Linked DNA regions of Kluyveromyces lactis. The protein of the gene in region 1 binds, or shares a complex with, the protein of each later gene. Links are inferred from orthologs where the notes say so. Each region holds a gene or a part of one and is shown in the gene's direction. Other genes may lie near its edges.

The links.
Region 2: NSP1 (region 1) and SEH1 share a complex: the UniProt entries of both Schizosaccharomyces pombe proteins name them as parts of the nuclear pore complex. The link is inferred for Kluyveromyces lactis from reciprocal best matches to the Schizosaccharomyces pombe genes nsp1 and seh1.

What each region holds. Positions count from the first base shown.
Region 1 is NC_006041.1:1,040,696-1,044,943, reverse strand, and holds NSP1 (FG-nucleoporin NSP1), read left to right. Parts: upstream 1-1,329; coding exon 1,330-3,672; downstream 3,673-4,248. Other genes in the region: MHP1 (Mhp1p), read left to right, coding at 1-353; NUP192 (Nup192p), read right to left, coding at 3,778-4,248. UniProt on the Schizosaccharomyces pombe protein: Functions as a component of the nuclear pore complex (NPC).
Region 2 is NC_006042.1:649,945-653,099, reverse strand, and holds SEH1 (Seh1p), read left to right. Parts: upstream 1-1,590; coding exon 1,591-2,625; downstream 2,626-3,155. Other genes in the region: ALG7 (UDP-N-acetylglucosamine--dolichyl-phosphate N-acetylglucosaminephosphotransferase), read right to left, coding at 1-1,299. UniProt on the Schizosaccharomyces pombe protein: Functions as a component of the nuclear pore complex (NPC).

The sequences.
Region 1 (4,248 bases):
TAACTTCACAATCTGCGACAGCTTTAACTTATCCGAAGAAACTAAACACCTTACTTTCTTCATCGAAATATGCTTCCAGTGGCCACAGCGCTTTGTTACCCTTCCATCAACCATCTGTAGAATCATATGAACCTGCAGATGACGAGGTGGCACTAACATACACGAGCGGTGAAGTGCAGAACGAAGCCAAAGAACAGTTGAAAGAAGAAGGTGATGTTTTGAGGAAAAGTAGAGGATTAATGAATGAACTACAAAGTACCGCTAACAAACGTGGCCAAGAGCTTAACACAGATATTTTGAGAAGGGTTGGCGAAAGATTTGATAGTGAACATATATCAAAGACGCCCTTTTGAAACAAGATATATCTAATATTATGTCACTCCTTGATGAATTGAACAATCAAGGAATTCCCATTGACGAAATTTTCAAGAAGAAATCAGATGACAAAAAACCAACTGCTTCTAGTTCCTCTGTCGACCAAAGTTCTAATACGGTCGTAGGAGTTGAAGCCAATCTGCAGGAGAAGAAAGGTGATGGGTATTCTGATAGCGATTATAGTAGCGAGGAAGAAGTACAGCAAGAAGAACAAATGGACCGCGCGTTTGACGAAGTTTTAGACACTCTAGCACATTCAAGAAAGACCACGCTTGCGAAATCAAATAATTCGCCAGGCTCAACATAGCAGCACCCAATGCACATAGCCCCCAAAGAGAATACAAATTACATTCCGTCTAAGAAACGTGGAGAATTGTAGACATGAAAACCACAAACTAATTCGAGGGGATACGTCTGCCCCTACTTTCACCTCTCTTTCTTTTTTTTTCAAAAGGAACTTTAACCTAATGCATTGAGATATACGAGATGATCAAAAACACAAATATGATGCCTTACTCTTGGATCAAATTACCCAGAAAGTTGGTAATGTGATTTATAGTTCCTAGGAAAACTCTATTCCATTGTTAACCGTTATTGATATTGGAGGAGAGAATCGAAAGACATAAAAGCCATCAAGCTCGGTTTACTCCGATTGAATTCTGTACATTATATAAATCTTACTATACATTCATTATAATATTAGGAAATAAACTTTAAAACAGAGCTTACTCTGGCTAGTCAAGCTTTATATGTCCATCCGTATATGCATCATATCAAGGTTACCCTCACTCAAATTTTTTGGACCTTGTTTCTTTCTAAAATCGAAAAGATCATAAAACTCGATATGATTAAACAATAAACTGAAAATTGTATACATAATGGCAAACGAATTGGTTTGAATAGGCATAGCTAGTCTATGAAGTGGACAATTACAAGGGTTCGTTAATCAACAAAATGAGTTTCAATTCAAACCCCACTTTCAACTTTTCTACAGCGGGAAATGCTTCCGGTGGGAACAGCAATTCCAATTTGTTTGCCGGTACTGGATCAGGACAAAATGTATCTACCACAGGAAACACCAGTACCAGCACAGGTGCTTCCTCTCTCTTTGGCAATACTGGAGGCCAGACCAGTGGCAATGCTTTTGCAAGTTTCGGTTCAGCTGCTGGTAGCTCTAATACGCAGCAGGGAAATGCATTTTCAGCGTTTGGAGCGACCACTACCAATGACAATGGACAAACAAAACCTGCATTCGGAGGCTTTGGTATGAATACACAACAGGGCGCTAATGCAGTCAAGCCAGCAGCTTCGCCATTTTCGTTTGGTGCCTCTAATACAACTGCTGGTACAGGCGATGCACCAAAACCTGCTTTTGGAGGTTTTAACGCAAACGATGCTGCCAGCAATGCGAACAATAACAACAGCAACACCACGAATACAAGCGCAGCAAAACCAACATTTGGTGGCTTTGGCTCCGTAGGAGCAGCAGGAAGTAGCTCTTCGCTATTTGGCGGGTCGCAACAGGCTAAAGACACTCAACCCAAGAGTGGATTCTCATTTGGTACACAACCTGAACAAAAGACCGATGCAAAGCCCGCTTTTAATTTCGGACTATCTGGAAATAATGCAATGACTACAACTCCGAGTGTCAATGCCTCTAAACCAATATTTGGTGCCAATACAACTTCAACATCAAGCTTCACAACTTCCGCTAAACCAACTGAAACCTCGAAACCTAATACAAATGCCACATCACTCTTTGGTGGGAACCACACTGATACAAAACCAGCCGGTGCTACTTCAGGGTTCAACTTTGGTTCTGCCGCTGGAGATGCCAACAAGCCAAGTTTTTCGCTAAGTCTGGGATCAAAACCTGAAGAAAAAACCTCAGGCGCAAAGACAGGATTCTCATTTGGTTCAAAAACGGAGGACAAGCCTACAGATGCTAAACCAGCATTTTCTTTCGGAGCAAAGCCCTCTGGGACAGAACAAGCCGGTAAGCCAGCCTTCAGCTTTGGATCAAAACCAGTGGCTCCTGAACCCTCTAAACCTTCCAATGACAAACCAGAAAGTAAACAGGGTTTTGCATTCAATGTTAAATCTGGCAACAGTAAAGAGGAGACCAAAAGTGGATTTTCTCTGGGATCTAAAACAGAAGAATCTAAACCTGCCTCTAAAATGGGATTTTCTCTGGGATCCTTGAACACGAATGCTGACGATACCGAATCCAAGCCTGGGTTTTCTTTTGGCAATAAGACTGAAGATACCAAGTCAGCTTCCAAAGCGGCCTTTTCGTTCGATAACAAGACTGACGGGTCAAAGTCAGAATCAAAACCATCTTTTGCTTTAGGGTCCAACACCTCAGAAAATAAAGCCGATCCTAGCCCCGCATTCTCGTTAGGAGCGAAACCTACCGATAGCAAATCATCTGATACTAAGGACGATTCGAAGCCTGCATTTAGCTTTGGAAGTAAACCTGCCGATAGCAGAACATCTGACACTAAGGTTGATTCAAAGCCTGCTTTTAGCTTTGGAAGTAAACCTGCGGAAACTACCGCTTCCAAAGACACGAAAACTGAAGCTCCTTCCTTTTCTTTGGGCGGTCTGAAACCGGATACTACCAAAGAAACAACTGAAAGTGCTAAGCAGGAAACTACAACTGGAACAAAGACATCTACTAAACCCGTTACTATCGAACCTGTTTCCCTCGACAATAAGACTTTGGATGACTTAGTATCAAAATGGACCTCCCAACTTTCTGGAACCGCAGATCACTTTGAGAGTTACGCCAAGAAGATAAATCAGTGGGACAAAGTATTAATGCAAGGTGGTGAACAAATAAGTCGGTTGTACTCTGATACATTAACTGCTGAACAATCTCAAAATAGAGTAGATCAGTCTCTCTCATATATCGAAAGACAACAATCTGAACTTGAGTATTTCCTCGATTCTTATGAACAAAAGGCTGAAGATCTGCTATCTGAGGTGCTTTCTTCGAGCAACAATAACAACACAAGCAAAACGAATGATCAAAAGAGACAACAAGCCTATCATACAGTGGAAATGCTTGACGACAACCTAAACTCTTTGTCACTAAATCTTTCCTCGTTGATTACCGAAATAAACGAAGTTAGCGAAACGTTCAATAAGGCTACAAACTCAAGCTTCCCTAATAAGGAAGAAAACGCTCAGTTGATCCAGTTATTAAATTCTCACCTAGATGCTCTTAAGTCGCTAGAGAACAACTCTCAGCAACTTGAAGGAAAACTCAAGACGTTGACGAAGTCTCAGAAATGATTTTTTTTTTTGACCTTGAGGTTAATACTATGATAATCTATATATTGAAACCTATGTACTTTGCTGGTTCAATCTAATAATCATGTAACCATATTGCCCTGATCGTTATTGCGCTCCAGAATAATTTGTCAGTGTACAAACCAAAATGATGAGTTGAACAAATTCTTCAAGTCCTTCTGGTTTGGTTTCAACTCCATTCTTTTCAAGTAATGCATCTCTCTTTAATGCGCCTTGTACCAATTGCTTGAAATGAGATATCAATTTTCTTGCCTCACGGAAAACGTATTGGCTTGATGTTCCTGAGCTGAGTAACACTGACGCAATCAACTGGAAGATGGGTATAATGATTTCAAAGAGCGAAATACCATTTTCGTATGATGTAATCTGGAGAGGGTTATCTAAAGTTAGATTCGCACGGATTTTTCCGGAGGTTGCAGCACCAACAGATTCAAACATCAATTCTAGTCCAAGATCTGGATCCATTTTCAAGAAGTTACACGACGTAATAGTTTCAAACAATTTCTTTTGAACTAAAGCATGAGAACCAGCCTTTGTTTGAGCCAATTTTGTCAGGAA
Region 2 (3,155 bases), on another chromosome or scaffold:
AATTAAATGTCTTAGACATATCGCAGATATTCCAATAATGAATTGCAGCGCGAGTATAGAGTAACATAGCTTATCTTCCCTCATAGGCCCAAACCACACAATCATTAAATTGATTAACGTCATATTACTGCAATCTAAAATTGTATTTGTTTTGGGATCGATGTTCAAATCGATTAATCGCAATTTGTGCAAAAGTCTCAATATCGGTTGCATTACTGGCTTCGGTTTTTCTTTTATAAGATCTGCTCGTGATGTGTACATTAGCCAATCACTCTCGTTAAATTTCGGTAGTCTATGCCTTGGGCAAGGCACCAATCCGAATATTTGTGGAGCTGAATAGATGAAATTGAAGATTTGTGGTAGAAAGAATAGTAACGTAGTCTTCGAGAAGTGTCCAAGAATACCGACTACAGCGAAAACCATACCAGCGAAGTAACAGTAAGTATCACCGACAAATACTTTTGCAGGCCAGCGGTTCCATTTGAACAATGCTAGTGAGACTCCGAGGAATGGGACGATCAATAAAAGTGAGAATAGGTGTGATTCACGAGCATGTCCGTTCACACCCATAGTTAAATACAACACATCATTAATCATAAATATTAGGCCTAGGACAATGCTCTGCCCAACTTCAAGTCCATTGACACCAGCCAATATATTAATTGAATTTGGACAGAAAATGGCGACCGAAGCCATATAGCAGTAATAGAAAGCGCCTAAATCAATGGATGTCTTGCTTGTACCAATTAACTCTTGTACAAACTTAGGGATCAAAACATGGGTAACGCTAAAATCAACATAGTAGACTACAAGTAATGGAATCGCAGCAATTGCTGGTAGGAAGAATTTATGTCTCCAGCGAAGATCAAACAAATCGTCAGCAGCACCTAGTAATATCGTGGATTCAAGACATAAAAGTGCACTTAAAAATTCACTTAACTTACTATGTGGGAATAGCTGTTCCTCCGTCGATTCTTGAGAAACCAGATCTCTATTTCCACCTCCAGAGGTTATCACCAAATATTTGTAAAACATGAAAGGAATCGAAAAGAACATGATAAACAAATACACTGTAGCAGATACAGATCCAATTGTTTCTGGAATCACTGGCCTACCAGGTTTACTCATATCTTTGCCAAATAAACCAATCTTGATGAAGGAATCACCTACTTGTGGGATCAATACATCAACTGCCACGTAGCCAATTACAGAAAACCCTACTGCAGATCCGATAGGAGATACATCTTTAAAATATACAATTATTGCAATAGCAAACAGTAGCAAAAAATAAGAAAGCATGGTTCATTCCCTGAGCTGGTACTGGCTATATATAAAGCTTCAGTAAGCACTTTTTTAGCTTAGCATTTAAAATGCCAAGCGCTTTCTTAAATTATTGTGTTTTGATTTTCGATATATATGAATCCTTTAAACATTGAACTTCGAACTTTTCGAAAACGAAAGCTAAAAGTTGCATGATAGAGGGAAAGAGAGTTGAGCTGAGTTGAGAGATATCTACACTTCACGGCTTTGAAGGTTGAAGTTATTCTATCGACCAATCTAGTGGTAAATCCGATAAAATCTTTTATCATCATGAAACCGTTTTTGACAGGACACTCAGACCTAGTGCACGATATTAGTTATGACTTTTACGGTCGTCGAGTCGCAACATGTTCCAGCGACCAACATATCAAGGTGTTCAAGCTAGACAAGGAAACGAATGAGTGGGAATTGAGCGAAAGTTGGAAGGCTCACGATAGCAGTATTGTGTCTCTTGATTGGGCCGCACCAGAATTTGGTCGTATCATCGCGAGTGTCTCATACGATAAGACTATCAAACTATGGGAGGAGGATCCAGATGCCCTTGAGTTATCCGGAAAGCGTTGGCAAAAACTTTGTACGTTGAACGATGCGACAGGACCGTTGTTCAGCGTAAAATTTGCTCCATCGCATTTGGGACTAAGGCTAGCTGCATTGGGGAATGATGGTAAGTTACGTCTTTATGATGCGTTAGAGTCTTCCGATCTTAGGTCATGGACCCTGACAAGCGAGATTACCGTCTTAAATACTCCACCTGCATCACATCTACAATCGGATTTTTGTCTGTCCTGGTGTCCCTCCAGATTTTCAACAGAAAGATTAGTTATCAGTGCCATGGATCAGGCAACTATCTACCAAAGAAACAAACAGGGAAAATTGGTCCCAGCAGGACATTTGAAGGGTCACACTGGATTAATCAGATCCATTGCGTGGGCACCATCAGTGGGCAGGTGGTACCAATTGATCGCTACGGGCTGCAAAGATGGGAAATTAAGAATATTCAAAGTAACCGAATCGCGTAACAACGGTACGAATATTATAAACGAAGAAAACGATAACAATGCAAACATAGAACGTGATGGCCCACCCATTGACAGCTCCGCCATTGATGCAGATGGATCAGTGGCTAACCTTCACGTCGAGCTGATCAGCGAACATTCAGACCATCAGGGCGAGGTATGGTCCGTATCTTGGAATCTCACAGGTACAATCCTAAGTAGTACCGGAGATGATGGTAAGATTCGGTTATGGAAAGCATCTTACTCGAACGAGTTCAGGTGTATGAGTGTGGTACAAGCGGCAAGGTGATTTATGTATATATCCCTTCATAATGTGATGTTAAAATGTATGTAATTATTGACCACGTGACCAGATATCATCAAGGGTTCGAGATTCAATCTAAACACTGACAAATAGAAACCTTATAGCTAAAAGGTACGCCACATTGGTGGTTTAAAGCCGTCTTCTCACCTGCTTGGAGTTTATCATGTACCGATCAATTCTAAGTTCTAAGCCCCAAATTGCACACATCCAGCCGTTGCTTTGTAATCACATGAAATACATTGCATCAGAAACGAACATTTCCGCATGCTTTGACACATAGCAATAAACACTGACAGTTTACTAATCTATAAATCTTATAGGATGCAGATATACCCGGTGTCATCATAAAATCTTATATGATATACCTACAGTACTGTTATAACGCCGTTACCAGAATGTACAGTTCTTCATCGTCCGGCCGATAAATCTGTCGTTCCGTTGCTGTTCCTGATTGTTGGTTCCGTTCCTTAGCACTTCTGCTTTCTAATATTCTTTGTAATAGAGAATTAAACAGG